2 linked regions of the Callithrix jacchus genome follow. The protein of the gene in region 1 interacts with the protein of each later gene in a pairwise test. Links are inferred from orthologs where the notes say so. Each region holds a gene or a part of one and is shown on either strand. Other genes may lie near its edges.

The links. The genes of interacting proteins can lie anywhere in the genome.
Region 2: the proteins of DAB1 (region 1) and CLASRP interact in a two-hybrid assay, tested with the Homo sapiens proteins (2 studies listed by BioGRID and IntAct). The link is inferred for Callithrix jacchus from reciprocal best matches to the Homo sapiens genes DAB1 and CLASRP.

Annotation. Positions count from the first base shown.
Region 1 is NC_133508.1:94,280,662-94,286,945, forward strand, and holds the start of DAB1 (disabled homolog 1), read right to left. Parts: upstream 3,776-6,284; 5' UTR 2,716-3,775; coding exon 2,604-2,715; intron 1-2,603. UniProt on the Homo sapiens protein: Signaling adapter of the reelin-mediated signaling pathway, which regulates the migration and differentiation of postmitotic neurons during brain development.
Region 2 is NC_133523.1:39,238,891-39,245,309, reverse strand, and holds the start of CLASRP (CLK4-associating serine/arginine rich protein), read right to left. Parts: upstream 3,855-6,419; 5' UTR 3,791-3,854; intron 3,504-3,790; exon of another isoform or gene 3,093-3,503; intron 2,759-3,092; 5' UTR 2,730-2,758; coding exon 2,631-2,729; intron 1-2,630. Other genes in the region: transcription factor RelB, read right to left, coding at 4,749-5,134. UniProt on the Homo sapiens protein: Probably functions as an alternative splicing regulator. May regulate the mRNA splicing of genes such as CLK1. May act by regulating members of the CLK kinase family.

The sequences.
Region 1 (6,284 bases):
CTAGTATGGCGTAGCGAGACAGACTTTTGATCCTTGTGGGGTAGTGACGCACTCTTCCTGGGCCACTGAGCTCTAAAATTTTAATCATAGTATGTAGATGATAATACCTACCGCTACTCAACTCCCAGGGTTGAGAAAGATATAAAAAGATAGGATGGAAGTGAAATTAAACAGAGGACCATACTATAAATAACAGCATGGCATGAGCTAATACCACAAATATAATCACTGCTCTTAGGGTCACACAAGAGCACAGTACAGTGATTAAGAGTCTTGTAGCTAAAGTTGGGTGTGGTGACTCATGCCTTAATCCCAGTACTTTGGGAGGCTGAGGCAGGTGGATCACTTGAGGTCAGGAGTTGGAGACCAGCCTGGCCAACATGGTGAAACCCCGTCTCTACTAAACATACAAAAATTAGCCAGGCATGGTGGTGGGCGCCTGTAGTCCCAGCTACTTGGGAGGCTGAGGCAGGAGAATCACTTGAACCCAAAAGGCAGAGGCTGCAGTGAGCCAAGTTAGTGGCTCCGCACTCCAGCCTGAGTGACAGCAAGTGAGACTCCACATCTCAAAAGAAAAAAAAAGAAAAAAGAATGTTGGGCTAAAATAAAAGCACTGCACCTATATATGAGGTTTCAAATCCCCCCCTTCCACTTACTAGATGTATGCCTTTGGGTAAATGACTCAACCTTCCCAGGCCTCAGGTTACTGGACCATGAAAGTGTTAATTGAGTTAACACAAGGAAAGCATTGAGAACAGTGAAAGGAGCACTGTAAGGGTTCAATCAAGGGTGAACTGCTGTTAGCATCACCATCCCCATCAGCAACATCCTTACTCTGTTCTTTCTTACTATAGTACTACAATCTCCCTTCTGTGTTCTCTACCTGCACTGAACCTTCCCATCCTCCTCCAGCAAGAGACAAAGCAACATCGATGACATGTAGGTGGGTGGGTCAGTCCTCCCTTGATGAAAATCCCACAATTTCATTATCATGTGTATTTTTTTTAAATTGAGGTTTTAATTCACATATCATAAAATTTACCATTTTAAAGCGTACAATTCAGTGGTTCTTAGTATGCTTATAAGGTTGTAGAACCATCGCTACAATCTAATTCTAGAACTTTTTTAAATTTTTAAAAATTTTAATCAACAGATAAAAGGTATACAGATTTACAATGTACAATATGTTTTGAAATATGTACACATTGTGAAATGGCTAAACCAAGCTAAACAACATGCATTACCTCACGTATTTATCTTTTGTGTGTGTGTGTGTGGCAAGAACACTTAAACTCTACTATACTCTTAACAATTTGCAAGTACACAGTGTTGTTAACTACAGTCACCATGTTGTAAAAGAGATGTCTTAATCCTCTTCCTAGTGTCTAAGTGAAATTTTGTGCCCTTTGATCAACATCTCCCCAGTCTTCTCCACCACCACCCCCAGTCCCTGGTAACCGCCACTCTGCTCTCTGCTCTATGAGTGTGACTTCCTTAGATCCCACATAGAAGTGAAGTCATGCAGTACTTGCCTCCTTCTGCCTGGCTTATTTCTCTTACATAATATCTTCCAGGTTCATCCACCGCATATGTATTTTCTAAAGCACCAACCAACTTCTCTATTGGTTTTTAGACATATTTCCAAATTTCCACTTTTAATTAATTAGGTAATTAATGAATTTTCACAAACAAATTCCATTAGAATGAGAAACACCACAGTGTAGAGTAAGAACGTGGTCACTTAAGCGAGACTCTGGTTCAGATCCTGGTTCCAGCAGTTATTAGGATACGGCCTTGGCCAAGTTACTTAACCTCCCTATGCCTCCATTTCCTTATCTGTAAAATGGCTATAATAGTGATTCTTAGTTCAGAGGGTTATCCTGTGCTAGGAAGGACTGAACAGAATTCAGTGTTATGGGCAGTGCTAGGCGCTGGAGGCACAGTGTTCAAATCCGTGTTTATCCCAGCTCAATATCTGGGAACAGAAGCAGGGCCCAAAGAGAGGTTACTTTAGAGAAGTGGTTCTCAAACTTGAGTGGGCATTAGAATCATCTGGAGGGCTTGTTAAGAATAAATTGCTCAATCCCACCCCCAGAGAGACAGACCTGTGGTGTTTTTTTCTTTTTTCTTCCCTTTGAAGTTTTCTGCCAACAAACGTTGAAACGCTTCTCAGAGCTGGCCACATACCCGAGTTTGGGACAAGTCTACCTGTCTTTAATGGATGCTCCTGTTTAGTGAGGCCTGAGTGACTTCATGTATGTATGGTGCTGAGAACAGCCGTTGGCATGTGGTAAGCACTCACTAAGTCCTAAATACTTTATTATTAGATGCTTCTCCTGATGCTTCAAAGACAGTGATAAATAAAAGACTCTGATGACTGCTGAAAAAGAAAAGAGCAGTCCCACACCGTGTGAGCCAGATATGGTTCTTCCTCTAACATGCTGTAGCACATGGAAAAGCCCTTTCCCTCTGAGTCTTGGTTAAGAAACAAACTCCATTAACACCTGAGGTGCATACAATTCTTTTACTCAGTCAGCCCCCTTTGCACATCCTCAACTCTCAGTGACAAATTAAAATTCTCCTTCTATCTGAAACCCACGAACCTGAGTGCTCCTGACGGTTGTGTGCCATGCAGACATCCTGGTTCCATGGGAGGCACGTAGAAACACAGTTCCAGCCAGTCCTCAGGAAACCATGGAACACAGCCACAACCATTGAGGGCCCCGGCAACCAAACACTAGAATGCAATCAACACAGTGTCCTGAGGTTTTGCTTATAGACAGATGGGGGGACAAGAGGCTCATTCTCATCCACGTGCCTATTTTATATATGCTAATTAGTAACAGCAGAAAGCGTAATAACTTTGAGTCTTGGGTCTTAGGGTAAAGAATAGAAAATGATTAACAAACAGAAAATGAGTTTCCAAGTTCTACCTTCAATAGGACGTGTGGATATAATATACCCCTGTCTGATTTGGGCTTCTCTATCTCTCTGAATCATGGTGGTGCTACTGTTGACACAGCACTCTGATTCCTTCATTCATCCATCATGCATCCATCAAACATGGAATCTAGCAGAAGTCAGGCAGTGATCCACTGGGTTAAAACAGCAACATAAGGTTCAATATGACTTCCTGTCCTCTTTCTCTTGCTTTCACCCTCCTGAACACAAGGGAGTCCATTCAATACTAAAGGGCACTTATTCCGCCCTCACTAAACATATATTTATTGAGGAAGCAAAGTGCATTAACAATAAAGATACATAACTTTCATGGAATACTTCAGATATACAAGGCTGAGCACTTACATGCACTCTTATTATTTTAAGAATATGCTGGCCTTTTCCCATCATATTCCTGTTTTACAGTGAGGAAAGCTAAGCTGGGAAACAATTAAGTAGCTTCTGCAAGCTGTCATCACTGGAGGTGCTGCAGTTGAGGGCTGAACCCAGTTCTCTCTGAAATCAGAGTCAGGCTCCTAACCAGATCCTGAACTGCTTCCAGACACCAGTCAGGTGGAAAGAACACATGCTCTAAGTCAGATCAGCTGGCATTAGAGTATCTCCTAATTGTGTGACTTCAGGCCAGTTTTCTGGTCCATGAAATGGCATTAAAGAAGAGAGTTGTGAGAATTTAAGGAGATGCGCACTTGGAATCCCTATGAGTAGTTCACCAACCCAATGATTGGTGGCTAATACTAGAAGTAGTCTAAGGGCCCAACTCTGTAGGTAGGCAGTGTGGCTTCAAATTTTCCTTAAAAAATAATTATGCAAACTCAAATATGCCAGACAAAAAATAGTACATGTATGAATATATAGATAAATTGTGGAGAATGAAAACACGTGAGGAAACAGAAAGCAGTCAGTATTGTGAGAATGGGGTGGGGATAGAGAGTAGGAGGAAGGGGTGGGAGGGCAGGATGATGAAGGGCCAAGGAATGTTTTGAAAGTGATGGATGTTTCGTAACCTTGATTGTGGTAACAGTTTGATAAGGTATACACATAAATTTGAGTCAAGATGTCTCAAAATGTGGACTTTAAAAATGTACAATTCATTGCATATCAATTCTACCTCCAAAAAGCTGTTCTTAAAAAAGCATTTCTGGCGCATGAGCAAGTAGTCTCTGTTGAAGGTGGAGCCAGTGTTAGCTACATTAGCTCAGTGTGGCCATCCTCACCATGGTACAATACCCAGAGCTGGACATGAGGCTGCCAAGCTACCTTTTTGGCAAATTTCTCTTTTCTTTCCTTGTTCATCACGAAGCAGGAGATGACCTGGCAGTGAGTGTGGGAGGCAGGTGGGCTCTTGGTAAGCCAGGAAGATTAGCAAACATGATTGGACCATCTATTGAAGTCCTGGACAGCATAATAAGGAGAGGCTTTGGTTAAAGAAAGGGCTTTAATTATTCTTGGTCTTAGCTGAACACCGGTGTTGGCAATTCTGTTTAATTAAGGTCATTTTTGTCACTTGAGTCACTGGGCACCTTTCAAAGGATCAACCACACTAAGTGGCAATGAAGACCCCAGAATATTACAGTTGCCACAACAAAGGCAATTGTTAACACAAATCAGAAATTAAAAATATTTCTCACTTGCAGGTATATCACAATGAGAATCAGTAATGCCAATACTGATTTTTGCTTGTGCAATTCAAAACTTAGCCTTTATGTAGTTTGAAAATTTACTTTTACTTGGTATTTGAAAGCAAGAAACACCTATACATGATAATAACTGAGATTAGTAATAATAGAGGCCAATGTTTTCTGAAGATTTATCATATGCCAGGTACTTCCTAAGTGCTTTGTGGATCCATTTGACCCACACAGCAAACCTATTAGGGAGATTGCCATCAAAATCCCCCTTTTAGAGATGAGGATGTAGAGGCACAGAAAGTTCGATAACTTGGTCAGATGCGGTGGCTCATGCCTATAATCCTAGCACTTTGGGAGGCCAAGGTGGGCAGATCACTTGAGATCAGAAGTTCAAGACTAGCCTGGCCAACACGGTGAAATCCCATCTCCACTAAAAAAAATCCAAAAATTAGCTGGGTGTGGTGGTGTGTGCCTGTAATCCCAGCTGCTCTGGTAGTTGAGGCATGAGAAGCGCCTGATCTTGGGAGGTGGGGGTCGCAGTGAGGCAAAATAGTGCCACTGCACTCCAGCTGAGACGACAGGGTGAGACTTCTCTCAAAAGAAACAAAAAAAAGAAACTTCAATGACTTGACTGAAACCACATGATGAAATGTAGCATTTTAACTACTAACAACAGCTGTTGTTTCTTTAGCTCCTAGTATGTACCAGAACATTGCGAAGCACTATATGTATTTTCTTTTTTAAAATGGGCATTAAAGCCACAACATGAACTAGGTACAATTATTCTCGACTTACAAATGCAGAAATCGAAGCTTTGAAATATTAAGTAATTTACCCAAGGTCTCACAGTTAAATAGCAGTAGAGCCAAATTTTAGTGCCAGATTCATCTAATTCCAAATCCATGAACTACTCAGGAGAGCACGTGGTTTTACATCCCCTTTGGTATGTTCCTCTTCTCCTCACCCCAAGTCAGTAAGTTCCATTATTCACACATGACGACAGACACAAAAAGGCTGAAGAAGACAAAACATTTGCTTAATTTCACTTGCATGTTTTAGAGTCAGTTATTTTTAAAACCCGGGGAATGTAATCTTGCTCATAGGAAATGCTTTGGAAGGCAATAAAGTAGATTAAATTAAAGTGTGGTTTGATGGTGATGATTTAGCAAACTGCGGTGGTGTTAGTAAAAATGAAATAGAAGATCTCTTTGCACATTATCTCCCTAAAGAGCATCACATAGGAAACACTCTTTGCACATAAAATAATGAGAATATATACATATAATAAACATAAACTACAATATATGAAAATATGCTTCTTCCATAAACTCTGTCTGCCAAACCTCCAATAAGGTGGAAGGATATTAAAATATGAGCTGGAAAAAAATGACAAGGGTTATAAGCAGCTTCTAGCTTCGGTTTGAAAATAAAACCAACTCATTAACATTTTCTCCCTTCTGAGTGTCTATGCACTGTACATTTAGAAATCACCCACCCTGTGACAGAGTAAGGGATGCAGATTTGAAGGAATGGTGCTGCCCTCAAGGAAAATTCGCAGTGTAGCAGCGAAGAGAAACAGGGTCTTAGAGCAAGAGAATTAAATAGAACGTAATGAAGCCTCTCAAAACCTTCTTACAATATTTAGAATAAAAGCCAGAATGCTGGACATCCTCCTGCTCTCAGCCCTGGCGCACT
Region 2 (6,419 bases), on another chromosome or scaffold:
TAATGAGGTATCTTAGGGATGGTACCCAAGTCCAAAGACCAATTTCATTTATACTTTATAAGCACAGCCTGAAGGTAATTGTATACAATATTTTAAATAGTTTTGTGCATGAAACAAAGTTTGTGTTAAGTACTTATGTGTGGAACTTTCCACTTGTGGAGGGGAATCATGTCAGTATGCAGAAAGTTTCAGATTTTGGAGCTAGCCAGGCATGGTGGCTCACGTCTAATCCCAGCAGTTTGGGAGGCTGAGGAAAGCGAATCACCTGAAGTCAGGAGTTAGCCTGACCAATATGAAAGAACCCCATCTCTATCAAAAATACAAACATTAGTCAGGAATAGTTGCACACGTCTGCAATCCCAGCTACTCAGGAGGCTGAGTGAGGCAGGGGAACAGCTTGAACCCAGGAGGCGGAGGTTGCGGTGAGCTGAGATGGTGCCACTGCACTCCAGCCTGGGTGACTGAGCAAGACTGTCTCAAAAAAGAAAAGATTTTGGAGCATTTTGGATTTTTAAATTAGGGATGTTCAACCTGTGCACGTATGTACATCTTCTTCTTTTTTTTTTTAGATGGAGTCTTGCTCTGTCACCAGGCTGGAGTGCAGTGGCATGATCTCAGCTCACTGCAACCTCTGTCTCCCAGGTTGAAGTGATTCTCCTGCCTCAGCCTCCCGAGTAGCTGGAATTACAAGCGCCCACCACCACATCCTGCTAATTTTTGTATTTTTAGGAAAGATGAGGTTTTACTATGTTAGCCAGGCTGGTCTCAAACTTGACTTGAGGTGATCCTGCCTCAACCTCCAAAAATGCTAGGATTACAGGCGTCAGCCACTGTGCCCGGCCCATGTATGTGTATCTTAAGTGTGTTAAATTCCACAGAGGGGAAGGGAGCAATGATGACGGCATTTTTAAAGGACACTTGACGGAGCCTGGGAAACAAGACTTCCCTGACAACTGAGATCTGACAGACAGGCAGTAGTGAACCAGGTATGGAAAGAGGTCATACACAAGTCCTGTGGCCAGGTCATGCCTGGGTCGGCGGAATAATAGCAAGGAGGCCAAAATAACTTTCACAAATGAACAAGGCAGAGTGTGGGGTGGCGCTGAGTCTAGAGGAGGGGCAACGGCCAAGCCATGCAGGGTCCAAAGGCCAAAGTGAGGAGCCTGGGCTTTCTCTCAAGGGCACTTAGGAGCCATGAAGGTACTCTGAGCAAGGAAGGGACAAGGTCAGTTTTGTGCTTTTGAAAGGCCTCTCAGACCCTTCTGGGGAGGACAGATTGGAGGGGCCAGAACTGGCGGCCAGCAGACCAGGGAGGAGGCTGGGGTGGTAATACAGGAGTAAATGGGGAATGTCTAAATAAATGTCATCTAACAGAACTGAAGCTAGTAAACAGGTGCCATTTCAAGCTGGAATACCAAGGATACACCGGAGGTTTTTGTTTGTTTGTTTGCTTGTTTTTTTGAGACAGAGTTTTGTTCTTGTTGCCCAGGCTGGAGTGCAGTGGCACGATCTTGGCTCACTGTAACCTCCACTTTCCGGTTTCAAGTGATTCTCCTGCCTCAGCCTCCTGAATAGGTGGGATTACTGGCATGTGCCACCACGCCCAGCGAAGTTTTTTGTATTTTTAGCAGAGACAGGGTTTCGCCATGTTGGCCAGGTTGGTCTTGAACTCCTGACCTCGTGGATCCACCTGCCTCGGCCTCCCAAAGTGCTGGGATTACAGGCTTGAGCCACCAAGCCCAGCCTAGGATACACAGGAGTTAAACAGGTGAGAAGGCGGCATTTCAGGCCAAAGCCCTGTGGTGGCAGAAACAGAAGGCCAGTGGAGCTGTCCAAGGATGAAGCTGAGTGGTGAGACCACAAGAGTCTTTTAGACCAGGGATACTTTGGTCTTCTCCCCAAAAGCAAGTGAAGCATCAAACAGCAGACAGAAGTGGTCAGATTTCATTTTGTATTCACTCCCCCTTTTTTTTTTGGAGACCATCTTGCTCTGTCACCCAGGCTAGAGTGCAGTGGCACAATCTCCACGCACTGCAGTCTCTTCCTCCCAGGTTCAAGCAATTCTCCTGCCTCAGCCACCCAAGTAGCTGGGATTACACGCACACAGCACCACGCCTGGCTAATTGTTCTATCTTTAGTAGAGACGGGGTTTCACCATTTTGGCCAGGCTGATCTCAAACTTGCGACCTCAGGTGATCCACCCACCTCAGCCTCCCAAAGCGCCAGGATTACCGGTGTGAGCCACCACACCCAGCCAACTTAATACTCACTCCTGTTGTGTGCCAAGCCAAATCTCAAATACTTCCGGGCATGGGAAGCCAGCAATAAGCAAAACAGACAACATTCTGGAGGTGGCCAATCTAACGTCAGGACTGCTCTGAGCATTACAGAGATTTCCCTTCTTCTTGCTAACACCTGATTGGCACTGACCAAATGACACAGTATGCTACGACACACAGAAGCCCTTGGGATCTTATCGATGATTACGCTCAAGAAACAATTAACGAATATACTCCTGAGGAAATGAAGCTCTTGTCCTGGCATACTTCCAAGTCCAGATTTTATCAGGATGACCAGCTTCAGCCCCCAACCCAGGGTCCCACACCAGAGACGAAAGGCCAGTTACTCACGATCTTTTCATAATACTCCCGTCTCCGCTCTGCCCGCTTCTTGTAATCGACCATCATACCTCGAAGCTTCCGCTCATGCTTCCTAGCCTCGTGCCACATTGTGGTGAGGCCAAGCGTGGGGCCTCAACCTGAGGGATAAAGAAAGGTACCAGGAGCGTCAGATAGGCTGTAAAAACTATATGGGCAGAATCAAAGTCATCTAAAAGGTTGGTGACAGAGTCAATCTCAAACAACACATCTCTTAGGTTCAGGGAGCAGAAGTATGGCTTCAGAACGGTGTGCCAGATGTTCAAGTCCACCTCTAACAACTTCCATCTGGCAGCTTGGGCAATCTGAAAAACCCTCAGGTGATTCTGAGGTGAGCATCCCTGGGAAAGGGGTGTCCTAGACTCCACGTGCTGGAGTCAGAGATGGAAGGTTTTGAAACATGAGTAGTGTTTGAAGTAAAGTCAGAAGGCAAACCTTGAGCACCTGAGGCTGGATCTCAAGGGAAAGAGAAGAGCTGAAAAGGCTGCCCCATGCTAGATGAGGAGGATAAGGATGAAGGCAGATAGAAGAAATCGGAGAAAGTCTTTAAGGGAGCAAGTGCAGTTGTAGGAAGGGGGAGGTCGAGGACGGGTGAAGGGTGTGGCGGAAGATGAAGATGCTAGAGGGAGTGGGAACACGGGGAGGGGGTGTTGCAAGGAGACCAGAGTGAAGGTGAGGTCTAAAGAGGGGATCTAGATGTCGTGGTGGAGACAGTATCCAGGGAAAAAGAGGGTAAAGCCTGAGAGAGGCGGAGCTGGCTGGCGGGAGGGCGTGGGCTGAGCTTGGGGGCAGGGCTTGCGGGCGAGGAAGAGATCAAGGGTTTGCACCGGGCTTGTAGATCGCGTCGCGGCCGGAGGATTTGGGCTAGGTTTTTGTTTGTTTTTGTTTTTTTTTTTTGACAAGGGGGCGGGCCTGTGACAGGCTGCTGGGCCGAAAGCCAAGAGAAACGCGGCGACTTCTGGGGCAAGGGCGCGGCCTTCGGCCCGTCAGGCCGAAGGGGGTGAGGAACAAGCCATCTCGGGGCCGGGACGCAGCAGAGGCCTACAGCAGCATGGGGAGAGCCCGAGGAAAGGAAGAAGCTGGGCTGACGCCTGCCCGAAAGCCGGAAGGTCGAGCCCGCCGCCCGCACTCACCGGCTGGTAGCAGCCTCCCACCGCTGCGCTAGCGCGCCGCCCGCACCGGAAACGGAAATGGAATGCTGCGGTAGGAGGAGGGGGCGGAGGTGGACCGCCGCGTAGCGCACTTCCGCCGACGTGAGGGGCGGGTCCTAGAGTCGAGAGGGGCGGAGTCCAGAGGAAGTTGAAGTGGGAGAACGAAGGGTGGAGCTCGGGTATTTTCGCTATTTTTTAAAATTTTGTTTATTTTTTGAGACAGGGCCTCGCATTGCCACCCAGGCTGGAGTGCAGTGGTGCGGTCTGGGCTCACTGCAACTTCCACCTCCCGGGCTTAAGCCATCCTCCTACCTCAGCCTCCGGAGTAGCTGGGCACCACTCAGCCCGGCTAATTTTTGTATTTTTTGTTGAAACTGGGTTTCGTCATGTTGCCCAGGCTGGTCTCAAGCGATCCTCCCGCCTTGCCTCCTAAAGTACTGGGATTACAGGCGTAAGCCCCCAGGCTGAAGGCTTTCTTTGCTGTGTAAAGGACTGGGGCATTTCCCAAGCGCAGAACAGACGAGACCCCCGAGGCTCAAAAACTCATCTTTATTGGAAAGACTCTAACAACCTACCCCACCCCCACCCCTTCAAGTCTGGGGAGGGAGGGCCATGGATCTGCCCCCTCCTCTCATATGTAGTCTTTTCCGAAACCGACTGGAGAAGGTGCCCCCACATGTGGGGGCAGAGGCAGCTGTAACAAGCTAGTGCACGGGAGCATACCCTTTCCGGACTCAGTTTCCTCATCTGTAAAGTGGGCTCAAGGGGAAACCTGTGCAACGGAGCTTCTCGCCAAGGCTGAATATGTCCGCTTCAGAAGCATGAGGAAGACCAACCCAAGGGTGGGCCAAGGGGATGGGGATGCTGGACATTCTGGTTGGGATTGCACAGCTCCTCCACCTCCCTCCCCACCCAGTGCCCCTCCTCTGGCACCACGGGGCTACGTGGCTTCAGGCCCAGGGGACAGGAGGCCGCCCCCAAAGGCTGCCTCACGGTACTGATTGGGGAACATGTTGCTGCCCACTAGGCTGGCGGTGCCTCCGTCCCCGGGGCCCAGGCCCTGGTAGGAGTCCAGTGTCAGCGGCTCAGGGCCGGGGGGCTCCCCAACCACAGCCCCAGCACCCCCACTGCACACAACAGCGCTGGCGTGTGGCGGCGCGGGGGGCAGCAGGTCCAGCATGGTCAAGAGTGGGGGGGCTGTGGGGTCGTAGGCAAAGCCATCGTCCAAGAGGTCAGGCCCACCAGGGGGCTCCAGGCCGGGCAGGGACACGGTGCCAGAGAAGAAGTCTGGGTCTGGCAGCAGGGCTGAAGGCGGGAGGAACGGGCCTATGAGGATGAACAGAGAGAAGTGCAGTGTGACTTAGGGCCAACTTCTGACCAGGCCCTAACTCGAATGCCCCATCCCTGCAAAATGTGGTATCAAGGTGGCCTCTTTTTTTTTTTTGTTTAGATGGACTCTCATTCTGTTGCCCAGGCTGGAGTGCAGTGGCATACTCTTGGCTCAGTGCAACCTCTGCCTCCTCAGTTCAAGTGATTCCCCTGCCTCAGTCTCCCAAATATCTGAAACTGCAGGCAAGTGCCACGCCCGGCTAATTTTTGTCTTTTTAATAGAAGCGGGGTTTCACCATGTTGGCCAGGCTGGTCTCAAACTCCCGACCTCAGGTGATCCACCTGCCTTGGCCTCCCAAAGTACTGGGATTACAGTCGTGAGCCACTGTGCCTGGCCTTAAGGTACCCTCTTAATCCCAAGGAGAATCCATGTGGGACTGTCACCATTCTCAGAGAATAAGTAAATTGAACGCCAAGCATGGTGGTTCATGCCTGTAATCCCAACACAACACAGCAAGATCCTGTCTCTACAAAAAAATATATTTAAAAGTTAGCTGGGTATGGTGGTGCACACCTGTAGTCCCAGCTACCTGGCAGGATGAGGCAGGAGGATCACTTGAGCCCCATTTGAGGCTGCAGTGAATTATGATCCCACCACTGCACTCCAGCCTGACCAACAGAGCAAGACCTTATCTCTAAAAGTAGTGATAATAACAAGTAAACCAAGGCGCCCAGGGAGTGTAACTGGAAAGCTCACAGCTGTTGTGGAGCTAGGGTTGAAGCCATCCACCTACACGGCCATGGAGAGTTTTCCCCAACAGTGAGAAAGGAGAAGACGTTCCAAAGCACCCCAACATAGAGAGACAACCCAAAAAGTAAAAGCTCCAGACCATAGGAGACGCAAGTTGGGAAGTCACAAGTCCCAAAATTGTCAGAAAAAATAAGTGTCATTCTCAGGCATAATGGGGACTTAAGAAAAAATAAAAATCAAATTAAAAAGTTTCATTATAAGAGGGATTCTTGGGCCAGGCATGGTGGCTCACGCCTGTAATCCCAGCACTTTGGGAGGCCGAGGCAGGTGGATCACCTGAGATCAGGAGTTTTTTTTTTGAGACAGAGTCTCGTACTGTCACCCAGGCTGTAGTGTAGTAGCGTGATCTCGACTCACTGCAATCTCCACCTCCTGGGTTCAAGCAATTTGCCTGCCTCAGCATCCCGAGTAGCTGGGACTACTGTGCCACTATGCCCAGCTAATTTTTTTGTATTTTTAGTAGAGATGGGG